6 linked regions of the Bombyx mori genome follow. The protein of the gene in region 5 purifies or fractionates together with the protein of the main gene of each other region. This does not show direct contact. Links are inferred from orthologs where the notes say so. Each region holds a gene or a part of one and is shown on either strand. Other genes may lie near its edges.

The links.
Region 1: the proteins of cullin-2 (region 5) and cullin-associated NEDD8-dissociated protein 1 purify together in Homo sapiens (affinity purification with western blotting; 7 studies listed by BioGRID and IntAct, with this or other methods). This does not show direct contact. The link is inferred for Bombyx mori from reciprocal best matches to the Homo sapiens genes CUL2 and CAND1.
Region 2: the proteins of cullin-2 (region 5) and COP9 signalosome complex subunit 3 purify together in Homo sapiens (affinity purification with mass spectrometry; 5 studies listed by BioGRID and IntAct, counting the BioPlex papers as one, with this or other methods). This does not show direct contact. The link is inferred for Bombyx mori from reciprocal best matches to the Homo sapiens genes CUL2 and COPS3.
Region 3: the proteins of cullin-2 (region 5) and E3 ubiquitin-protein ligase ariadne-1 purify together in Homo sapiens (affinity purification with western blotting; 3 studies listed by BioGRID and IntAct, with this or other methods). This does not show direct contact. The link is inferred for Bombyx mori from reciprocal best matches to the Homo sapiens genes CUL2 and ARIH1.
Region 4: the proteins of cullin-2 (region 5) and kelch domain-containing protein 3 purify together in Homo sapiens (affinity purification with mass spectrometry; 5 studies listed by BioGRID and IntAct, counting the BioPlex papers as one, with this or other methods). This does not show direct contact. The link is inferred for Bombyx mori from reciprocal best matches to the Homo sapiens genes CUL2 and KLHDC3.
Region 6: the proteins of cullin-2 (region 5) and Ter94 purify together in Homo sapiens (affinity purification with western blotting; 3 studies listed by BioGRID and IntAct, with this or other methods). This does not show direct contact. The link is inferred for Bombyx mori from reciprocal best matches to the Homo sapiens genes CUL2 and VCP.

Annotation. Positions count from the first base shown.
Region 1 is NC_085111.1:7,841,576-7,845,744, forward strand, and holds the start of cullin-associated NEDD8-dissociated protein 1, read left to right. Parts: upstream 1-1,369; 5' UTR 1,370-1,598; coding exon 1,599-1,640; intron 1,641-1,725; coding exon 1,726-1,895; intron 1,896-2,376; coding exon 2,377-2,590; intron 2,591-2,684; coding exon 2,685-2,819; intron 2,820-3,580; coding exon 3,581-3,738; intron 3,739-3,860; coding exon 3,861-4,023; intron 4,024-4,169. UniProt on the Homo sapiens protein: Key assembly factor of SCF (SKP1-CUL1-F-box protein) E3 ubiquitin ligase complexes that promotes the exchange of the substrate-recognition F-box subunit in SCF complexes, thereby playing a key role in the cellular repertoire of SCF complexes.
Region 2 is NC_085119.1:8,374,090-8,378,241, reverse strand, and holds the start of COP9 signalosome complex subunit 3, read left to right. Parts: upstream 1-1,352; 5' UTR 1,353-1,617; coding exon 1,618-1,672; intron 1,673-1,840; coding exon 1,841-1,995; intron 1,996-3,071; coding exon 3,072-3,168; intron 3,169-4,152. UniProt on the Homo sapiens protein: Component of the COP9 signalosome complex (CSN), a complex involved in various cellular and developmental processes.
Region 3 is NC_085127.1:9,591,301-9,595,595, forward strand, and holds the start of E3 ubiquitin-protein ligase ariadne-1, read right to left. Parts: upstream 2,801-4,295; 5' UTR 2,626-2,800; coding exon 2,419-2,625; intron 500-2,418; coding exon 347-499; intron 1-346. UniProt on the Homo sapiens protein: E3 ubiquitin-protein ligase, which catalyzes ubiquitination of target proteins together with ubiquitin-conjugating enzyme E2 UBE2L3.
Region 4 is NC_085118.1:7,557,037-7,560,977, forward strand, and holds the start of kelch domain-containing protein 3, read left to right. Parts: upstream 1-1,141; 5' UTR 1,142-1,290; coding exon 1,291-1,533; intron 1,534-1,671; coding exon 1,672-2,137; intron 2,138-2,738; coding exon 2,739-2,934; intron 2,935-3,433; coding exon 3,434-3,607; intron 3,608-3,745; coding exon 3,746-3,809; 3' UTR 3,810-3,941. UniProt on the Homo sapiens protein: Substrate-recognition component of a Cul2-RING (CRL2) E3 ubiquitin-protein ligase complex of the DesCEND (destruction via C-end degrons) pathway, which recognizes a C-degron located at the extreme C terminus of target proteins, leading to their ubiquitination and degradation.
Region 5 is NC_085129.1:21,461,517-21,465,773, reverse strand, and holds the start of cullin-2, read left to right. Parts: upstream 1-1,457; 5' UTR 1,458-1,610; intron 1,611-4,257.
Region 6 is NC_085125.1:11,209,088-11,213,257, forward strand, and holds the start of Ter94 (transitional endoplasmic reticulum ATPase TER94), read right to left. Parts: upstream 2,801-4,170; 5' UTR 2,714-2,800; coding exon 2,697-2,713; intron 2,116-2,696; coding exon 2,010-2,115; intron 1-2,009. UniProt on the Homo sapiens protein: Necessary for the fragmentation of Golgi stacks during mitosis and for their reassembly after mitosis. Involved in the formation of the transitional endoplasmic reticulum (tER).

The sequences.
Region 1 (4,169 bases), on a different chromosome or scaffold from region 5:
GTGCATTGAGAGTAAAATTTAACTCACGATAGATTCGTAACGACTAGAGAGAACAGATACAATTTAGGACCAGCGAGAGGGAGAAAATATACAGAGCGTCTCGCGAACCACACGACCTTGAAGAGAGCGAGAAAGCGAGCTAGATTGATTTTTTTATACACATTCTGTTTACGGGCGTTGGCCACTAGATTGCTTGTTATTAGTTTCTCATTGCTCCTGTAGATGGCAGTAACATATTATCTATCTTAAATTTTATTTTTAACTATGGATTAAAAAAATATATTTTTCTATATATAATTTAAAATATATATAAATGGAGAAGAGATCGTTTCTCTAATACATAGTATTCCCTATTGCAAGAAAAAATTGATTTAAGTTTGAAAAATGAAGAAAACCGTAATACTACACACTGCAAATTTAGTTACACTTCTTTCACGTGTCACGTGCCTCAAGTTGCACGCGCACCTTTTTTTTTGTAATTCACAACAAATGTAATAGGATAATTTTGTATAGTAAAAAAAAACTCATTCATCAATAATTGTATTTATAAAAATCCTAATTATATTATTTCCAATTAACAACAACTTACCTCTGCAATCTGCATATTTGAAGTTATAGTAATAAAAGCAGAAAATAATGATAAATTATTTTCATACTTGGCGCTCAATATACAGGGTATCTCAGAAAGAATTGATAATACTGAAACACCTCATAGTAGAGCTATTGGGGACACAAAATAAAAAATAAAAAATAAAATCTTAGGTAGCACCCAAATTAAAAATAAAATAAAAATACCAAATTTCATTATTAAAATTGAAGTTCAGATTAACTTTTATAAAAAATTACACTGGCTACTCATGCGATTTTCTACATATTCCTTAGTATAGTCCATATAAAATATTATAACACCAAAAAGCTTATGGATTTCATTTATTTGTAGCTGTTATATATTCCAGAAACGCACAGCAGTATGGAAAATATCAACTTTTTTTTAAAATACATAATTTGGGTACTACCTGAGTTTTTTTTATTTTTATTTTTTTTTGTGTCCTCAATGGCTCTACTATGAGGTGTTTCAGGATTATCCATTCTTTCTGGGACACCCTGTATATGAGTAAGACTCTGTAAGACGCCATAAGCCTTTTAATTTATAAAAAAAATAATTATGTTAGTAAAAAAGGTTTTTTTGTAACCGAATATTGTTAGTTTACTAATTTGCTGATTAAAAATTTACATTACCTACTCATAATATGGTTTTGAAAGAAACGACTGTTTAGACGATAAATTTGAAAAAAAAAACATGACTATTTTACGGCCCTGAACACAATGCTGTTGGCCTATAATGGTCTCGATGCCTTTGGCTTGTAATTATCTACAGTGAGTACTGTTCAATAGAGGTCTGTGTACCTAAAAATGCAAAATAAAAAATTGACAAAAAATCTATGGTCACTTAAATGAGGTTTTAGTTTTACCTAGTTTTTTGCAAATTTTTTCTCGTGTGAATTAATGTTGATTAAACTGTTTTCAACTAATTAGCTCTCGTTAGGTCTTAATATTTTAAAATTATTTTTGGAAGAGACACTGATAGGATTTGCACAATGGCTAATGTGTCTTACCATATAGCACATCTTCTTGAGAAGGTAAGCCGGTTAATTTGTTAACTAGTTCAATGTTTTCGTATCTAATAAGCTCGCATTTATTGAGGATTTTCTATTTATTTCGTAGATGACATCCAATGATAAAGACTTCAGGTTTATGGCTACTAATGATTTGATGACAGAGTTGCAAAAAGACAGTATCAAGCTCGACGATGATTCTGAAAGAAAAGTAGTAAAAATGCTTCTACGATTACTCGAAGACAAGAATGGTGAAGTTCAGAATTTAGCTGTGAAATGGTTCGTTTGATATTTCATAATTCCAAGCACAATAAATCTGAGTATCAATCCTGCATGTGATTCAATCCTGCATGTGATTTAACTCCCAATTTTTTAAGTTCTATTCAAACTACTTATGAAAAAGTATGGTAGAAGATAAAATTTCAATATTCGCTGTCGCAGATTTTTGTCATAGTTTTATGAAATTAGATAAGTTTCCTTTACAAAGTCAAGTCTAATAGTCTCAGTTGTTCTGTACTTTTATCAGTGTTAAATTTGTAAAATTACATAACTTTTTCTCAATTTAAACCAAATTCACTTAGGTATTTCAACTTTCTCATACTAAAAAAAATATATGTTAATCTTTTGCTCTATTGCTGCAAGAAAGAAGCACACACCAAAATATAGACTTTACTGATGATAATATTGTTAAAGTCATAATTTTATAATACTGTATACTGATATTAACAAACCAGTACCCTTGACAATAATTCACTTTCAGCCTCGGTCCTCTTGTAAACAAAGTAAAGGAGTATCAGGTGGAAGGTATAGTTGATACACTTTGTGCCAATATGCTTTCGGATACTGAGCAGCTAAGGGACATCAGCAGCATTGGATTAAAGACTGTAATTTCTGAACTCCCACTGGGTTCCAATACTCTTGCTGCTAATGTTTGTAAGAAAATAACTGGTAAATTGAGTAGTGCTATAGAAAAGGTACAGTATAGATGTTTAGATATTTCACTGGATTGTTCAATTTATTGCTCTCTTCAAAAAATAAACATGTCATTATTCTTCTTAATTTTTTCAGCAAGAAGATGTTTCAGTTCAACTTGAAGCACTTGATATTCTTGCTGATTTATTGAGCAGATTTGGTGGTTTATTGATATCATTTCATCCTATGCTGCTCAATTCACTGTTGCCGCAGCTTGCATCTCCCCGTCAGGTATACAAGTAGCAATGAAAACACCTGTGATCCAATTATATATTATTATGTATCCAAAGTTTGTAGGCTAACTTTTGGTTGTCCCGATATTTCAAAGTTAAAGGAGCCTACAGGAGCAGCTGTTGCTACCTTCATTGTCCCATTTGGACTCTTGATTATTATGTTTCTTGGTGGTTGGTCATACATTTCGGGAACACTTTATTGTTTACTATCAACATATAAAATAATAATGAAAATATGTAATGTAATAAATATTAAAATTAAATGTTCCATGCTGATATTAATTATATAATGCAATAGCAAGTTAAAATTTTATTTAATCAAATTATAAAGGTTTTTTGTCTTGTGAGCTGTGGTCAACTATTACCAAAAATGAAGAATTAAGGCAACCATAAATTTATTTGCAAAGAAAAGTAATTAACTATCTTAACTATCTTAACAGGTAATTTGTAGCTGTTATGGGTTAGGTGCTTTCACTATGTGTATTGTTAGCAGATATCTCAAATATACCAGTTTGAGCTGTGGGACAATTTAGGCACAGTATAAATTCAAACATTGAACTTATGTCTTTTAGTGGATGGCTGCATTCATATCCTAATATCTTTCAAACTCTGGTAATGACATAGAATTAGGTAGGTGGTGAGCTATCACCTAACGATATAGTCCATTACAAAAAAATTATGAAATATATATATATATAGCAAAGTATGAAGGTGTACGTTGATCCAAAATTTACGTAATATAATATTAAAAAATTCCAGGCTGTTCGCAAGCGCACCATAGTTGCGTTGTCACATTTGGTCATGTCTTGCAATGCTTCGCTTTATAACAAGTTAATAGACCATCTACTGGAGGGTCTGAGCTCTTCAACTTCATCAAGTGTCAGCCGAACACACATACAGTGCATTGCTTCTATATGGTATGTTGTGAGTTAATTGACATTTTTGTTCATTCATATTTTAATTTTGCAGCATGTGTAGGATCTAGGCAAGAAAAATTATATTAATTAGACTAAATTCTCTTGAAATTTGTTTATTTTAGTCGTCAAGCTGGACACCGATTTGGTGAACAATTGTGGCGTGTGGCACCATCAGTTTTGGAATATTCAAAAGATACAGATGAAGAATTACGGGAACATTGCTTGCAGGCTCTTGAAGCATTTGTCCTCAAGTGTCCTAAAGAAGTCCAACCACATATACCTACGGTAAATAGACATAATTGGATTTTTTTATTTTCATTGCCTATATAGATGAACAAGCTCAGGGGTCAACCTTGTGTTGTCAGTTATTGGAGCTCATTTACATCATGTACATGTACATTCATACAAGAATGAAGCTTTGAGACAAGAGG
Region 2 (4,152 bases), on a different chromosome or scaffold from region 5:
TCTCAACCGAACTGTCAATGAATGATAGCATAGATTATACACTTAATATATAATGACAGTATTACATCATAATACACGAGTGACACTTTCATTTCCATTATTGAGTTTCATACACTGAAGTAGGAAACCTAGTTTCATACTTCAGTGTTTATTGAGGAACTTTGTGGGAACTTTATTGTTTAGTGTCAAATTTCAAAATGAATAATGTCATTGTATAAAATAGAATTAGTACATTCTTATTTCATTAGATTTTTTTACTGAACCGACAAAGAAAAAATTACCCATAAAACCAAATCTAAAAAAGGCAAAAACATGTCAGTTTAATAAAATGTGAAATGGAATTAAATAATGCAACAGATTTATTTTTATTGCCCTTGCAGGTAGACAAGCATATGGCCTGCCTGATGGTAAGTGGCTACCGTTGCTCCTGGACATCAGCAATGCCGGGGCACAGCCAAGCCGCTGCCTACCGTTGCGTACTTTTCTTAAGTCTCCTTTAAAGATAGATCATCTGTAAAGGAGATTTATATATATATATATGTATATATATTTTATATATTATATATGGCGTTCGGGAAACACCGTAGAGGGAAGTTCATTCAAAAGCCGGATGGTACATGGCAGAACTCTTCTCCGATAACGGGTGATGTGATTATAAAATTAATATTATGGGATCATCTGAAACAATACATCAGAGCACACCCTATGGGACATACGATACAAAACCCAGAGACAATCGAAGTCTCTCTGTAGACAGAGAGCTCCAAGCGATACATGCGAACGGGAATATGGACAATCCGAACGTCTCTCTTCTGTATGAAGTCCAATGGAAATTATCTGATAGTATTTGAGAGCCCCGGCCCAGAGGTGAGAGCAGTACTCCACGCAAGGCCGGAATTGCTTTGTAAGGCCGAATTTGTTTTATATAGCAAAAATCTGTATCCAGGTGTGAAGTACCAAACACAAGTTTCGATAGTTTTTCCTGCATCATAATGAATGATGGCAAGAAAATAATTTCTTAGTAAAATAGCACCATTCTTGTAATAAAATTAACTCTTCTCATGACTGTTTTCTTTGAATTGATTTTGATTCAATTTTATTTGAGCCGGAATATATTTTTATTACATAATTTTTAGAAAATTAAGTGATTTATGTATCTAGCCAAAAGAGCGAGCGCATCTTTTACGGGATAGTTTCTTATTTCTTCATGTAGTTTTTAAACTAACATTTATTACGGGTGTGATACAGACTAAATTACTGAAAATAACAATAAAAAAGAAAGAGATTAACACATACCTATTTTATCATATCGCACAAATACATAATGTTTTGTCTTATCTCAGCTCAAATTTAATTCATTTCGTTCCGTTTTACTTTTTATACAACACTTATAGCTGTAGTCTTTATTTTTTACAAGATTATGGTCTAGTACCTCTTTGCCTAATATATTGATGTATTTAAATAAACAACTACCGCTGTCAATTTCTCATGTCAAAAAAATATCAATAATTCATGTTATTTTCGTCTGGGTTATTTTAAATGTAGAAAAAAGAAACAATTTATTTAAACATTTATTAATTCAAGCACATATATAATTTATCTGATACTACTATCACAATGGCTTCTCCTTTAGAACAATTTGTCAACAATGTGAGGACAATGTCGGCATCAGGTACCGTGCTATTATAATTCATGGAATAAAAAAAGTAGGCACCTGACACAATCGCAATCATAATAATAATATTATAATAAACCTGATTCTTTTTTAGGAAACAAATTTATTGGAATGTATTAGAACGTCATTAAATCAAACTTCATGGTACAATGTCTTATCTTTCAGGTAATTTTCGCGATTTATATGAGATTATTGCAAAATCAGATGAAGTGTTGCAGAGGAATAGCTTCCACCTCAATACAGTACTTGAAACTCTTGATATCCAACAGCATTCATTGGGTGTTTTAGCAGTCCTGGTGGCCAAATTTTCCTTGCCTCCGGTAAGTGTTTTAATTATGCATTCTAACTTTACATAAATTATTACAATGGCCTTAAAGTGTAATTGAAATCTAAATGTATGTTAAGTCTAACTTAAACTGTATCAAAATCTATATATTAATACATGAAGCAAGAACTTTGTATCCCTTTTTAAGAAAATTGCGCGGACGGAGGAGTATGAAATTTTCCACACTTATAGAGAATATACAGAAGAAGTGCATGATGTTAATATATTTTTTGAATAATGCATAAAAGATACATTAAATCAATAAAGAAAACATTACACACACTACATACCTTGTATTTGACGCACACACGCATGCATACTATTTATTGTCAAACTTTTGTTCTTGACGTCTGTTGTCAAATTGAAATTAAATATTGTTTGTCTTTGTTAATATTTTTTATAGTGTAGTCTTGGTGAAATTTGTGATTATAGAAGTATAAAATACAATCATAATAGTGTAAAAACTTACAATTCCAATTAATCATAGTTGAATTTCGACTACTGCGGGACCTCTAGTATCACTAAATATTCACAGCAATAATTATAACATATATTATATATATTTTATATCTATCAAGGCATTTTATGCCTAAACTCAAATTAAATAAATAATGGTTTAAAAATACTAACAAAATACGCTTTTGTAGAAAATCCAACTAAAAAATAGAAAATAAATTTGATTTAAAAATGGTGTAAGAAAAAATTATTTTATTGTAAAAAAGCATGGGGTGCATGGTGCATGCATGGTAAGGGGGTCAAAATCATGTTCAAAGATTCTGTTACATACTAACATACATACAACTGAAGCTAATAAAATCGTATTAAAAAGCTGCAAAGTCACCCAACATGAATTTTGAAAAAAATCTGTAGTAGTATATTTATTGATACTGACAAACTTAATGAGGTCCAATATTAATTTGAAAAAAATATCTCGTAATAATATAATGTTAACTTAGGTTTTCTCTTTGTTTTGAACTGTATAATGTTCTACAGCATGAAATAAACTGTTCATCACATATTAACTACTTTTATTTCTGTTTTCTGAATCAATATAACTTATGTACCTTACAGGGCAATCCAGAAGTTGATAGGTCAACTATGTATCAACAGTTTCATGATTTTATCAATAACTGCAATGGTGAACAAGTTCGATTTGCAACTGATTTATGTAAGTCTGCTTTTCATTTTGTCAATCTTTTTTAGTCAGAATGCTGAACCTCTATATATTTTACCTTCTTTGATATCTCTGAAAACTAGAGTTGACCCTGCTCATAGCCTAGTAGTATAATAGTAGCCTAGTAGTATAATCATGAGTGTTTCATAGTTCAGTGTGTGATTGTAAATACTGAATTTTTATCAATCAATTTATGTATAATACTTTATCAGTAGCATCTTTTGTGTATAAGCTGTGTGGCTGTGTGGTCTAATATTTCAAGTTAAAAACTGAGAAAAAAGTTTAACACAAACTCAATAAAATAAAATAAATACTTGTTAATAAAATAACCCTCATTTATTACAATATTTAATTATAGACAATCATAAGAAATATTTTCTATCTCTGAGTGCAAGGTCAGTAATACTCACGAATAACCTGTTATTATGCTAGTCACTAGCAGCTAGTGTAATTAATTCAATTTAAATATTAAAATTAATTTTTTCATTGGTCTATTTCTTAAAAAATAGTATCTTATCGCTTTCTCATCTTAACTTAGCAAAACAATTTAAATATGTATAAAAATAAATTAAGTATTTTAGATTTACGCTTATGTAATGGTTTTACAAATATTTATTGATTTAGATCTGCTTCTGATCTGTTATGTTTTGAGGGACGGGTCAGATGAACAATCCCATCACTGACCTATAAAGATTTTTTATGCTCATGAATCATCATTGATCTAGCATAACAGTCAAATCTTTCACTTGCTTCTCATTATCAGTATTATGTTTTATTTTTATGAAAAGGAGTACAATTTTCTTCACTAATACACTATTCTTCTTCCTCGTCCTTTCCTATTAGTTAATTATTAATCACTCTATTTATAAAATGCTTGAAACACAAAAAAAATTACTGTTAGAATGGCATATTGTTAACCACTAGTCCAGTCCAGTCAAGTCCACTTAGTCCTCCAGACATGCAGTCTAGACTAGTGAA
Region 3 (4,295 bases), on a different chromosome or scaffold from region 5:
AATTATAAACTACTTTTATGGTTTAACTTGAAACTTTTATTGTCATTATAATATTTCCAAATGACTCCCAACACAATATTCAAATTTGAATAAATAACAGTTTAGTGGTTAGTCATCACAAAAACTGTAAACTATTTAAAATGTTAGAAATAATATAATGACTCTAAAATTGCAAGATTACATCACAAAAGTAAATTTAATTATGTCTATTATTCACATATATTGATGAATATAGCATAAAAAATTAAGATTACATTAGCATATACACATATGGTAATGTAATGAAATGTTTTTAATCATGTTGTAATATAATTACTTTTTTTAGGATAGTCTGCAATACATTTACCTTTGGCCTTTGTATGACAGGTTTCCTGAATGGATTGATAACTCTAGCTTCAGAGAACAACTGATCCTGGTCTCCATCATAAAAACGTTCCATAAGCTTCTCTTTGTCCCATTTGAAATGATTCAGTAAGATCCTTGTTGTTGTTGCTGGAATCTGTTTTGACAGGATTTTTTATGCTTTTAACACACCATAAATCAGAATTTTTAATACTTAATCAGGGGATCTTCAAGGACAGGTATATACTATCTGAGTGAAATAGTTGGGACTTCATAGCTACATATCTCCCTAACATTGTAAAGAAAAAAATTGTATAAACTTTCTTTTTTTACATAATTATATACCACTAAAACAAAACTATTAAACACAAACAAATTATTTACATCCACTAGTTTTTTTTGTAAGTCCTATGAGTAGACAAGCTTCTAAAAACTGAAGATAAGAGATCCCTTAACTTAGTTAGTTTAGTCCCTACAGTTAATTTACAGTGTTACAAATTTCCTCAATGATCACTTTCACTTTTGTTACAGTCAATTAAGAGCCAATTTCAAAGATTTTTAAATGAAATATTGCAGTTTCATATCAATGTATTTTATTTAGATTTAGTAAAAATTTGTTACTGGCTATTGTTAACTTAGGTTGATATATATTAGTATAGTTTTAGTGCAAAATGTTAAATTTTACACAAATCAACATTTTTCTTAGTTTCATATAAACATAATTAGTATGTTACTGAGAGCCTTATCATTTTTTAATTTCAATTTTGTTGTCAGAAATGCAATTTATATTTAATAGAGATTGATTGTTACTAGTTCAAAAAATGCTTTTTACTATTTTAAATTTTAAATTTAAATAAAACTGACTCTCGCTTTAGGTTAAAAAATATCATTGAACTATGTAATCCATTAATATAAAAAATGACAGATTAAATTGCCTTAAAGATCTGTTGAGGGGCTAAAGTGGTCCAATGGAAGATTAGTCTAACAAGTACTCCATCTCAACCTGAGAACTACAAGTAGTAAAGGTAGAGCAATCAATGTTACACACACTCATGACATGATTGTGTTATGTGTGCTAAGCCTGCTTGGAGATAGGTCAAATAGCCACTTATGTGCTTCTCAAATGGGAGTGGCTATGCTTCAGACCCTGGGTCCCCAGGCCCCACAGCTAGCTTCCTGGAGAACCTAGTCTGGTGCTTGTAGGATCACTCTCACTCTATTGAATAATAATGACATCAGATTGCAGGGAACCACACGTTTATTGCTTTTGGGGTAATGTTTTTTCATAATTGTTAGTAAGTTGTTTCCAAAGCTGAAATTGTAATGATATACTACTTCAGCACAAACACAAAACCATACCCATAATTTCTACAGTTCATTTAATGAATATTTAGTTAAACAGATTTTTTCCTTAATGCAAAAAAGCATAGGTACATGTTAACATATTAATATCTCCAAATCAATATTAATCAACAATAAGCACTTTTCTAGGCCTTAATATTATCATAGTACATAATAATGCAATTGACAATGAAAACTATTAATTATATATGCAAATGAAATTGTTATTAGAATCTTACTGTAGCTTTTTATTATAAGAAAGAATGTATAACATTGAATAAGAATGTATAACATTCTTTCTTATTCTGTTCTGCATACATATTTGATGAATTAAAATTAGTTATATGAAATCTACTTGTATTTGCTTAATATTTATTTAAGCACCACTCTTTTTGTTCTATTACATTAGTCAGCATTACAAAGTTATTAGTCATCAATTTACAGTTTTATATGTTCTAAAAAATACCAATGACTTTTTACCTTTCATAAAATGCTTTATGGCTCATAAGATTATATTAGGCCAAATAATGATTTCCTGTGATGATTTAATTCTTAGAAACTGTGTTTGCTAATAATAAAATCAAACCATAAACAATACCTACAGTCAAAAATATCATGTCAGATCAATTGCGACTAAATTAGTCCACAACACAAAAGGTTCTATCAAAGTGTACCATTGTACGAGTAACCTCAATCAATTAGTCCATTGTTTACGCTCACAACTAACATACTGACCTCGACGACAGTGTTCACTTCTTTAATGCAGTCAACCATATGTTGGACAATCTCCTCTGTAGACAAAACCTCGTAAGGATACTCCTCAAGCTCAGTTTGTCTTTCCCTTGTACTATGAGTTTCAACGTCCATTGCAAAGTCGACATCGTCTCCACTAGACTCATTACCCGAGTCCACATCGTCTTTCGTGTCATCTTCCGAATCCATCGTTGCAAACTTTAACTAAATTTGTATGATTTATAGTGAATGCACAACCAGAAATCTTATTGTGATGAAATAAATACACCTTAGATTTAGGAAAGGTCAACAATGAAGAAAATAGTTCACCCGCGGGCTGCCAAAACCTCTGACGTAAGGACAGTGTTCTAACATCTAAAAATTTAAATCATAGATAAATAATGTTCTTCTTTTTTTTAGTATGGCAATTAGCTTCTTGCATGACTGTTGTTGGCAGAGTCGAGATAATAAAAATCCTGATTTATTAAACTCTTACATACATACTTATTGTATCTTAAGAAAAATCATATTATGGAACGAAATGAGATGAAGTTAATTTATTTAAGATTGTAATCAATTGGGTTGAAATGAAATGAGATGAGATGGAATAAAATAAACGCACAGTAAAATGATTGTTCTCTGATACTTCAGTGGACTTTCTAGACGAGTCTGTGAAGCCATTCCCAGCGACTTTGTTTCATTTTCTCACATTATGTACTTTTATAGATGCTCAACAGTTAAGAAGCCACCATTAATACGCATTGATGTCGACACATGATGACAAAGTTAAAGTGGAACTCAACCCATTATACGAGACTTCTTATCGAACCGTTCGTTCCGATATCGAGTCGAAGGAACGTGCTCTCGCCCTCGTCACGTACCTCAGTTTGTAGGTATAGCCCGGTCTCCGGAGACCTATCTAGCGCTCTTCGCCGATGACACGGCTATCTACTACTCGTGTAGCAAGAAGTCATTATTCGTTCCGGAAGTGCCGCATCGACATCAACCCCACGAAAAGCACAGCGGTGCTCTTCAAAAGGGGTCGCCCTCCGAATACCACTTCGAGCAGCCCACTCCCTAATAGGCGCGTTAACACCTCCACCGTTAGCCCCATCACTCTTTTTGGCCAGTCCATACCGTGGGCCTCGAAGGTCAAATATCTAGGCGTCACCCTCGACAGAGGTATAACATTCCGTCCCCATATCCAAACGGTACACGACCGTGCCGCCTTCATTTTTTTATTTTTTATTACTTAGATGGGTGGACGAGCTCAGAGCCCACCTGGTGTTAAGTGGTTACTGGAGCCCATAGACGTCTACAACGTAAATGCGCCACCCACCATGAGATATAAGTTCTAAGGTCTCAGTATAGTTACAACGGCTACCCCACCCTTCGAACCGAAACGCATTACTGCTTCACGGCGGAAATAGGCGGGGTGGTGGTACCTACCCGTGCGGACTCCCAGGAGGTCCTACCACCAGTGATTACGCAAATTATAATTTTGCGGGTTTGATTTTTATTACACGATGTTATTCCTTCACCGTGGAAGTCAATCGTGAACATCATATTAGGACATCTCTACCCTATGCTTTGCAAGCGAAACAAATTGTCCTTCCGTAATAAGGTGACACTCTACAAAACTTGCATACGCCCCGTCATGACGTATGCAAGCGTAATGTTCGCTCACGCGGCCCGCACTAACTTGAAACCCCTTCAGGTTATTCAATCCCGATTTTACAGGATAGCCGTCGGAGCACCATGGTTCCTAAGGAACGTGGATCTCCATGATGACCTGGAACTTGGCTTAGTCAGTAAGTAACTACAGCCGGCATCATTGCGCCACTTTAAGAAGGCGGCACATGAGAAACCTCTTGTCGTAG
Region 4 (3,941 bases), on a different chromosome or scaffold from region 5:
ACACCCACCACAAAAGTCTATAGTGAAACCAAACTTATGTCTGTAAAACAACTGTATACCTATAGCACTTGTTTACTAATAAGAAAAATATTACACAAGGAGATACATTCTAAATTGACGTTTACTAAAAAAAAGGAACTTCAAAACTATCGTAATCGAAATGCCGAAAACTTAATCACTACCAGATCTAGAACTAACTATGGACAACGAAATATATCATCTGAGGGTGTCAAACTGTATAATATGCTGCCTTTAGATTTAAAAAATATCAAGTCATTGAATGTATTTAAAAATAAATGTAATGATTATATAAGAAAAAATGTTCCCATAATATAGTTTCTAAGATAAATTTGTTAATAATAATAATATCCATTTATTTCAGACAGTTACATCCATAGAAATGATAGTATTGTTACTTAAGCCTACGTTAATAACTAAAAATACTAAATTCAATTTAAAGTAATTACCCAATTCCATTAATTTATTTTCGTTTATTTAACAATAACTTCATATTTATACCTAAATATAAACAGGAAAGAAATATAATAAACAATGAAATGAAAAAACAACGAAACTAACAACCTGCAAACATTTAACCAATGCCACATCCATGCGAACTAGCTCCTTGTGGCGCCAATATCTACCCGCCACCGAGCGGCCGGCCGGCTGGTCGAGGCGATCTGCTGTGGTAATTAATCTACCCTGTTTATACATTTTAAGAAAATAATAATCTTTATAGTTTTTGTTAAATGTATTGTTTATAGCATAGCGTCGCATGTTGTTACTGTAAATTATTGTCATGTACTGCACGATCTGAAGTAATTGTAACTATTTTAATGTTCTCATTTAAGTGAATTTATGTAATTCTTTTGAGAATAAAGAATATCTTTAACCCGAATTATCAAAATAAAACAACTCACAAAAGTTGGTGTTTTTGCCAAAAAGTCCTTTGTCTCACTTCATATTCAAATTATTTTCGATAATTAGTATTGATTTATAGTAAAATGACTAGTAATGTCGGTAATTAGCGCGTTCCATTTACGGACAACAGACAAGGAATCGTGTATTTTTCACATAACATTTCGTTGTACGGACGTTATTTCCTTTGCCTATCCAATTGACGAATTATTTGTCATCTCAATACCCACTGTCAATTTCTGATTTCTAGTTTCTAGTTTCGTCAGTCAACCAGTTTGTCGGGGATATGGTAGATTCCTTTTAAAAAAATATAAAAATAATATAACAGTTTAATTTGAAGCTACCGTCTTTTTTTTAAATTCCATTGCAACAATGAAATGGACAGTGCATATCGAAGGGGGACCGATGAGAGTCAATCATGCAGCTGTATGTATTGGCGATAAAATCTATTCGTTTGGTGGATATTGTTCCACTGAAGAATATAAAGATTGGGAGCCAATACCAGTCCATATATTGAACACAGCAACTCTAAGATGGACCTCTGTAAACTATAAGAGATCAGACGTAGTCCCATTTCAAAGATATGGGCACACAGCAGTTGCCTATGGTCACAAGGTATGTAGGTATAGTCTTTCTTTTAGGCTATTGTAGTCGATGTTATTTGTATTCTGTCATTTCATTGTTCCAAACAGTTTAAATTCTTAAAAATATCTCGCCTATTTGATTCTTCTATACCTACTATTCTGTGTTCAGGTATATATGTGGGGCGGCAGGAATAATGCGGTAGCATGTGATACTCTCTCGTGCTTCGACACAAAGAAACTCGAATGGAGCACCCCGCAAGTGACAGGAATGGTGCCATATGCTAAAGATGGACATTCAGCATGTGTCATTAAAAATAAAATGTATATTTTTGGAGGATTTGAGTATCTCACTGATCAATATTCTCAAGAAGTCCATTGTCTTGATTTGGACACACTTCAGTGGACCTTTATAGATGCACAAGGCACTCCGCCTTCCCACAGAGATTTCCACACTGCAGTAGCTGTCGGAGACCGCATGTTTGTCTTTGGTGGTAGAGGTGATTTAAATAGTCCATATAATTCTCAGGAAGAAATTTATTGCCCGCAAGTATATTATCTAGATACAATAACAGAGACATGGGTAGCCTGTAATCCTACTGGGATTTGGCCAGAAGGGAGACGCAGTCATTCTGCATGTAAGTTATAATATTTATCTGGTTATCAAAGAATCTCACAAATATATTACATATAACTGTGACCCCTTTTAAGTGGGTAGCAAATCAAAAGTTAAGCTTAGCTTAGCATTATATTTAGTTATTTTTCATACATGTCTACAGACTGCAAATTATATAGACTAGCTGATGTAAACAATGTGCACTCAAGTTGTCTATCTTATTTTGCTGCTACTTAAGCTAATCTTAGTGTCTTGTTTTACTTTGTGCACTTGTTTCTCATCTTTTAGTGTCGTAACTACTCAATCAATACTTACTTCGCCTTGACATAATTGTGGATGTAGGTACATGCAAAAAATTTCTACTTTATCTACTATTCATTTAGCTGAGCTTTGCTGCAACTTATCTGTAACCAGCTTTAGGATAGAATTTTAAATAATGAATCTTAAAATTGCAGTATTGTAATATTTTAAATAGCTTATTTTTTAATGTAAATTAAATCATATGCTATTTTGTTGACAAAATGAATATAATTAGTATATTAATTTATATTAATATAATATTTAATAATTAAATATATTAATTTATAATTAATATTTATTAAAGTTACTTTCTTGTACTTTAGGGCTCTACAATGATTTCATGTACATTTTTGGTGGATTCAATGGAAATACCAGGACACACTTTAATGATCTTTATAGATACTCAATTAAAGGAAATTTTTGGCAGTTTATAAATGTGACTGGTTCAGTTCCTTGCAAGAGACGACGCCAAGCATGTCTTATTTATGAAGATAAGGTATACCTGTTTGGAGGCACAAGGTAAAATATTTTTTTCCATAACTGTCCTCAGACACACTTAATTACTATCAAATGTAGGAGACCATAGATTGTGCTGAACTGAATTTATCTTTTACTTTGAGAGGGTACAATTTCAACAAAAGATTTCAGTGTAAAAATAAATAAAATTTTCATTAAAACAAAAAAATACAGTACATCTTTCGTGCATTGCAATTTTAAAATATTTAAGGCTTGAAAAAGTTAAAGTATGAATTGATTGTATGAGAGTTATTCCACCATACAAAACATAGACACATCCCAGTTAGACAGCAGAAACAAGCTGGATGGTGATGTCTATTTGTGCAGTTTCACAATGCATAAATAATTACGCAATGAATAAAATTTTCACGATTTTGTGCTTAGATCACTAGATAGCTAGATTTCACATGACATCTTAATAGTTTAAGCCAAAAATTTCTTATTTGACTTATTGCTTAAAAATACGTTATGCCCTATGTACAAATACATATTTGTTTTTCAGCCCTTGCCCACATGTTAACAACAGGCCCATTGATGAAAATGATGCAAACCCCGAGAGATTAATTGATAACAGTGATTTACATATACTAGATTATACCCCAAGTCTGAAGACTCTATGCATCATAGCTGTACTTGCTAACAACCTTGACCAAAGCACACTTCCGCGTGATATAATGTAAGTTACATAAATGTATAATTAGTACACAACTTACAAATTTAAATTTGAAATCAGTATGTAAATTTCTCGAATTGTCCAATAGTGTTACAATACTACACACATAACAGTTATTTAACTTTACAATTATTCTTTCAGTATGGATATTTGTGCCATGACATTACCAAACCGCATCAGCAGGCCCATTAATCAAGCAGGCTGAAATAATCTATTAACTGAACACTTCTATTGATAACTTTGGAGCTTATAAATATATAATATGTAGTACCTATCAATATCAATATGGAAATGTTTAGTTGTTTTGATTTTCCTTTTTTTAGACTGATAGTTTAAT
Region 5 (4,257 bases):
GTCTAAGGCTCTGAGAATAATTGCTGGGGCTATGCGTTCGAGCCCTATTAACGCTTTGCAGGTCGAATGTTCTGAAGCCCCCCTGCACCTCAGACGACAATTTCTTTGTGACCGGTTTCTATTTAGAGCATTCCAAGTTTATAATCATCCTCTTTACACTAAGTTACGGTCTCTGCTGGAATGTATGGATTATCCGTACTGGGCTCATAAATCGCCGCCATGCCTTATTGTTAGTCTCCAAAAGTACTTAGCTCTTCAAGCTCCTACACATAGATCACAATTCCTTCCAATATTTTGTGTTAACTATGATGCCCTAACTTTAAATCCATCTATTATGTTTGATTTCGGCCTAAGTAAACAAGATCTTTCTATCAATGCCAAATTTGTTGATATTATTGACAGTGACAGCCGATGGAAAAATTGTCATTTAATTTTTAGCGATTCCTCCAAACCCGGTCCCGAGGAGTGTGTGGGGGTCGGCATTTTCCATCAACAGTTTGGCATTGTTCAGAAAATAAAATTGCCTCCAGAGACTTCAGTATTTACTGGAGAATGTTTTGGTCTTCTGAAGTCTCTGGAGTACATTTTAATGATGAAGCTTAAAAAGTCAATAATTTTAACTGACGCTAAAAGTGCCCTCCAAGCCTCGGAACGTTTTCCTTTTAACAGTAACCGAAATAATCATCCTGTGATTATTGCATGTCGTGATTTATTGTATCAATGTTGCATCAAAAATTACACAGTTTCCTTTGCTTGGATTCCGGGGCATTCGGGTATCTTTGGCAATGCCAAGGCCGATAGCCTTGCCAAAGCTGCGGTCAATGATGGAGATTTGGTTCCGTACAAAAACTTTTGTTGTGATTTAGCTCTGCTTCCTAAATTCCAGTTATTGAATTCTTGGACTCACATTTGGCGTTCTTCAAGACAGACTAAATTACAGCACGATCCAGGTGGATATACCTCCTAAACCGTGGTTTTCAAATCTGACGTTTGGTAAAGCTATCACATCGACCCTTATTCGCATGAAGCTGGGCCATGCATGCATTCCCTTGCATTTGGCAAGGGAATGCACCTTTTGCCTAGTGATATATGTGAGTGTGGCAATGACGTTGGGGATTTTAATCATATATTCTTTGCCTGTCCTCGAAATGACCGTTCCGCTTTTATTTCCTCACTTTTGTCCATTAAAATTCCTTTTCCTACTTCAATTTCTATCCTTTTATCTAATATCAATATTGATGTATATAGAATATTAGCTAGTTTCATTTTTCATAATAATATAAAATTGTAACCATTTATGTACTTAGTTTATATAATATATATACCTGATCCTTTTTCCAAATTCCGTTCCAATTTCAAATCCAAAAAATAAATCCATTAACACACTTCCTAACCTTTTTGCGTGGCTGACGCACAAACCGTGCAGGCCAAGAAATGGGAGAAAAAAAAAAAAAAAAAAACATTGCATTTGCGCCAGAGACGTCAATGTCAAAAATAAGCCTGACAAAGAATTACGGACGAAATAATATAATTTGTACATAAAATATAAACAAAATATTCAACAGGCCATTAAAACTTCGCATAGGAAATTAATTCACGAAAAGTATATTGTAAGTACCTTTCCTTTGGATTATAAATATTAACTTTGATTTGCACATCTGTCATTGCAATAAGTACATACATCGAGATTGATTATTTTGGTTTTTAATGCTGAGTAATTCTACGTCGGGAGCCGGGCATTGGCATACAGACACCTTTGTCACATTGCCAAACAAATATATGATCGTGCAAAGTACGCATTTTACGTATTTAAAAGAAATCAAAATTGTTTCAACCCATTTAAATAAGTTAACCCCATTTGCCATCTATTCTTTTGAATCTATACGAATAATTTGCATAATTAGACAGCAACATTCGTCTATCAAGAATCAGTTCTATATTATTGAAGAAGACTTGCAGATTTTGTAAACATAGAACATAAGGACTTGGCACATAACACAGCTTATTGTAGTCCATTTCGTGTTAAGTAGATCAAAACAGCAAACGGTATTAAACCACGCATACAATTCAGGTATACAGCCCAATAGAATACATAAAATGAGAATTGCTTAATATTTACACTTAGGAAAACATAATGAGGTGACAAATACCTAATCCTCCATATTCGGATCATGATTTGCCAAAAATAATAAAGAATAATTGGACATGTATTATAAATATCCCCTTGTGACTAATAAGACCTTCCCTTGCTTTAGATCACAAGCTAAATAAAATATGAATGTACTTAGTGTTTATGCTCAAGCGTAGCTCCATCCATCATAACGGAACTGGTCCTTTACACCACCTAATTTATAGCAACGGTCAACCCACTGCAAAATAGATTTTGAGATTAGTCATAATGAATCTGGCCGAACAAAGTAAATAGAATAATTTGGGTAATAACCTGAAAAAGTTCTCAACTCTTCTCTTCACTGTTAGACACATAGACACAATATTCCAACAAAAATACTTGCTGTGTAAAAGATCTTCCTTTTTAAAATTTCTAGTATCAAACTGATATAACTTAAAAATAAACTGAATATTTTGATAATTGTAATTGCGATTTGATTCACATAATATGTATGTTTTATGGGATAGATGGGTATAGCAAATGTGGTTGCTCTAGTGTGTAGAAGCTACTAGATCCCACAGACACAACAAAATGGATACCTCTGCTACCTAAGTCTAACCTAACTGCTTTTTTAAATAATCCTCCACAAGCATTTTTTTTTTATTTATTATTTATTTAATATATTTTGTACACACAGCTGTTAGAAAAGACACGTCAATAAGGATACAGAGTACAAGGGCACTACTTATTTCATGCTGAAATCTCTTCCAGTAGGCCCGCAAAAGGAAAGAAGAATTAGGAACACAAACCTAGTGCATACAGTAAACATTACATATAATAATATATACATATTACAAGATACAAAACAATATATATGCATACAAATACACACACACACACACACATGCATATATATAACATACACACATATACTTACTTTATATTATAATACATTATACAAATATATATAATTTATTTAAGATGGTAAGGATAAATAATGTTCCTTAACAGATTTCTTGAACGCTGCTATGGTTTTGCACGCTCGTATGCTTGGAGGGAGGGAATTCCAAAGTATAACTGCTTGTACAGAAAACGATTTTGCGTAAGCATGTGTTTTATGAACAGGGCAATTGAGGAGAGTTTTAATGTGGGTTCTACAAGGAGCAATGGAGGGACGGGCATAGGTAAAGCGATCACGTAAATATTGTGGGTAGTTAGGATTATGTAGGATATTAAATAGGAAGCACAACATTCTAGTATTTCTGCGGAAACGGACTGGGAGCCACTTGAGCTTTTTGCGAAATTCAGAAATAGAATTCAGAATTTTTTGAGACCAAAAATAAAACGGATGCACAAATTTTGCAAACGCTCAAGCTTATTGAGAAGCTCCTCAGTGACATCCAAGTAGCAAGCATCAGCGTAGTCCAAAATGGGTAAAATGAGACTTTGGACAAGAGAAATTTTAGTTTCCAAAGGCAAAAAATATTGGAGACATTTGAGTGAATGGAATGTAAAGTTAACTTTACTGCTAACATTGTTAACCTGCTCATTCCAGCTTAAGAAAGAGTTAAAGGTAACGCCAAGGTTTTTAACAGTTTCACTAAAGACAATTGGTTGGCCATTCAATATGAGAGATCCAATTGCAGAATGATTTAATGCACGAATAGCATATCTACTACCAATTATGATGGCCTGTGTTTTGTTGGCATTGAGTAAGAGTCCATGAGACGTTGCCCATTCATGAATGTTTTCCAAATCACAATTAACATCCTTGATTGCTCCATCAATTTCACTAGGTGCGCAGTGATGGTAAATTTGCAAATCATCTGCATAAAGATGAAAATTTGAGGATATCAAAGTAGTGACTGTGTTAATAAACACTGAGAAAAGAAGCGGAGAGAGAACACCACCCTGAGGCACGCCAGCATCAACAGCAACCCAGTCTGAGAAGGATTCATTTTGACGTGTGCGTTGTGAACGGCCCCGAAGATATGAATCAAACCACCTTAGGGCAGAAGTAGTAATGTTTTCGCGGAGCAGCGCCGCGTCCTCGTTGCAAAAATAGGACCGGACTTGTCGCTTCCGACCGTCGTGGCTGCGATGCTCGGCAGCGATGAGTCCTGGCAGGCGATGCTCGACTTCTGCGA
Region 6 (4,170 bases), on a different chromosome or scaffold from region 5:
GCATTAGTAAAACTTGCAGTAACAGTTTTGATACATCACTCAAGTACAATCTTTCAGAAGCTGGATATTTCGGTGCCACACAGGCTGATAGAAAGAAACGTAGTGATTTGTGTATTAATTTGTGATTATGTATAATCAATGTAAATGTTTATGTGTAATCAAAGGCACTCTAGCGAAACCTACGTAAATTCACAGTAGATAGATTCTAAGCATATGTTAGCATCGGAAGGGCATTGTTTATTATAAGCTTTTATTGACAGGCAATACGGATACAGGACTTTACTGTCAATATCTGATTGACAATCAAACAACAAAATGGTAATTTTTTTATAATGATAATACAAGTTTTTTTTTTATTGACCTTGTAGGCAAACAATCACTCGGTCCACCTAATGGTGAGAAATTACTGTTGCTTATAGAAGTCAGTGATCCCAGAACCACAACCAAGACGTTGCCCACTACTAAGGACTCTCTATAAACCTCGTTAGGAGAACCACGTATATTTTTAACCAGTCCGAAAATATTGAGTTTCGTTGAGAAGCATTAACACATTCATAATATAGCCCTAAGCTTAAACTCACAAATCTTCTTCAGCCCCTTCAGAATTTTTAGGTACTGTTCGTTTATTGTACTGTACTGTAGTATTTTTTAAATCAAAGTCTCCAAAGTTTTCCTTAATGGTCACTACCAACTTGGTAACAAACAAAACAGTAGTTGGTAGTACCAACAATATAGATCAGGTTTTTCTAAGTTCCTATTTTAAATAAAGTGAGTTTTTTATTCCACTTGGTAACTAATTTTATTTCATACTTTTTAGTCAATTGATTCTGTAAAATAAATTCATTCTATGCAGGAAACAGACTTAAACAGATAATGTTTTTGGTAAGAGATATCTTTAATTATAAAAAACAATGAATAAATATTATTCCTCTATTAATTTTGTCAGAGACACTATGTTGAAATAATATATGACATATCACTTTTATTAGGTGTTTTTATTTTGTCTTTTCTTAGCGCTTGTGTTACCAGATTTTTTACTTAGTTATATATTGTGTGTCTAATAAATAAATAAAAAATAAAAATAAACAACCAACTGACATCTCATTTGCTAAAATCCTATAAAATATTTAAGCTGAGGAGTATAACATACATAAGTTCACATAACTTGGAATAGACCTTATAAATTTAATAATCAGTTGAAAAACACTGGACAACAGTTTACTACAGTAACAGTTTACCGGTGGTATTATAAGCCTGGGTTGAGTGCAGTCATGCATTCCAATTTGACAGATAGGTTGGCCATTGTCATACAGTTTTTTTTCTTTCTTTTCTTTATTGCTACGATGGATGGACAAGCTCAGGACCCATCTGATGTTAAGTGGTAAACTGGTCTCAGTTTTACAGTTATAACAGTCACTCAATCTACTCTTTGGACCAAAATGAATTACAGCTTCAAGGCAACTGAGGTTGGTGTCACATTCACATTATGATGTCTATGGACTCCTCACATAGGCCGTGAGGACATTCACCCATCTTTGCAATGAATAAATAAAAAAAGTAGTCTTACAGCTTTACTATTGACCTAAAGAGATAAAAAGGTTATTCAACTCTGATGGTTATAACAATGGATATTTTGCATCATATAAACTATGTTACAAAGGTTCGTTCTTTTCTATAGATTAATGGGGAAGGACAGAGACATTTTAATCATTGTTCTTTATTGTTAAATTATTAAAAACAGTAGTTACATTTTTTTTTTTTGCATGGTGCCTATGCGTCTTACAAAATACTGTATTTTATTAACAAAACAATAGTTTTAGGGATGTTCTTTTGTTTGTTTGATTTGAAAAAAAAAACCTTTATGTGTTATGTTTATGTTAATTTTATTATTTGAAGGTTAGGATGACAGACGAAATTTACTTTTTTTTTGTTCAAAGCAAAAGTACTAATATTGCTATTTAAGGTTTAGTGAATGAACCAAACATCTTGTCCAGAGACAAAGCACTGACCTGTGAAAGTGCCACGACTGAGTTGTCATCGCTGACTGCTTCTTCGACAATGAGACGGTTGGGTCTGTCCTTGCGACGGAGGATCGCGGTCGATAAATCATCAGGGCTGGAATACAAGACAATTATGACTACTCTTCAGTTTAACATTTATTTCTCACTAGTAGAAATACTTGGGTTTTGTTTGGTTTAAGTAGAAGGATTAATGTCTTTTCATTAAGATTTTTGTATTTAAAATGGTATTGGTATTTTTTAATGATTTTTGGACATAAGTTCAAACTGATTATCACTGGTGCTGAGGATGATGTTTCACTTAATTACACATTTCTAAACATATATTTCGAAAATTTGGTGAGTTCGGGTGCTCAATTTCATTCATTTTTATAGGAATGATTTCAAAATGCCGAAATTCTTTTGTGTTAATTTGTCATCTCACCGTCTCTTAAATAGAACAAACTTGTTTTCAGAACTAAGTACTCTTGCATTAGAAAGTTACAATGCTGTAGAATAATAAAATTGCTGTTGTAGGTCATTGATGAAAATAAAAAAATCACTACACTTTAAAAGTTTAATTCTCGACATGATGACAAGCCAAATTCGAAATGCATTCACAATGTACTTCGCCGATTTCGTGTAAATTTTACATGAAACTCCGTTTTGAATATTTGACGAATATAATTTAGCACTCACCTTTTATTATCTGCCATTTTATTCAAAATTTATTGTTAGAATCTAAGAACTATTATAATTTTTATAACGCCAAATAATTACTTGGCGAACTTCAATCCTAGCGTGACGTTGCCGTATTTCATTTGTTCATCGATAAGCTTCGTGTTGCCATAGAAAATAATACCATAACTAAAAGACCCATTTCTGACTAACTCTTCAAGTTTTAATCGATTGTAACCATCTCTCGATTGCAATCATTGATTACCACCACAGAGTTGCAAAATGTCTCAATCTAATATATAAAATTCTCGTGTCACAGTTTTCGTTGCCATACTCCTCCGAAACGGCTTGACCGATTTTGATGAAATTTTTTGTGCTTATCCGGTATCTATGAGAATCGGCCAACATCTATTTTTCATCCCCCTAAATGTTAGGGGTAGTCCACCCCTAAATTTTTTTATTTATTTTTTAGACAAAATTTTTCATTTCTATTTTTTTATGATACAACATACAAAAATACATACAATCCTCAATTTTCACCTCTCTACGATCAACCCTTATTTTTTATTTGCTAATTAAAAACTTCTAAAAATTTTTGCGAGAATTTTGTTTGTATTTTGTCATGACTTAAAATAAAAAAAATTATATTACTCTCAATTTTCACTCTTATACGATCAACCCCTATTTTTCCATCCCGATCAATATTTTTTTTATTCTATGCACAGATCCGCAATAAGGTTGCAAGATGGCAATCAAATATTATAATTGTAGTACGATAAACTCTTATTCAGAGTTTATAATTTCAAGTTCCTTTAATTATGATTTTTTTTAAATTGAATTTGATCTCCCGCCCTCGCCGGTCGACTACTGATCAACTATCAATCGATCAGCTATCCCCGCCAGGTGTCACCACTCATCCAGCAAACATCACGTAGTAGGGATGAGACGAAGCCGGTCTCCTGTCTTACTTATTCACTATACATCATAGATTATACACTTAATATATTTGAGAGCTATACAATACTATACATTTTTCAGCCATGTTTTTTTGGTTTTATTTGTGTATCAATAGTATGTTCAGTAGGTCTGAGAGTCGGCTACTATCTATTTTTCAAACCCCTAAGTGAAAAGGGTTGTCGACCCCAAACATTTATTTTTTATTTTAATTTTTTGGATATTTTTTTTTGTTTACAATGAGGTATTATGTGGTTAAATGAGGTTTTTTTTTCTACAGTAGAATTTCCCTAGAAATCTTATTTAAGGCAACACAACGTTTGCCGGGTCAGCTAGTGGATTTATAAATTCTTTAAAATTGGGGTAATTTAAGACGCGAATTATAAATTTCGAAATTAAAAAAATAGAGGTTTAATCAAAGATCGCCATAGAGGTTGGCATCAGAGGCTGGCCATACTACCGATAGCTAATTATGATTTTGGACACAAAACAAGGCTAATTGAGTGTAATTTCGAATAAATGAGCATCTCTCTCTCTGATG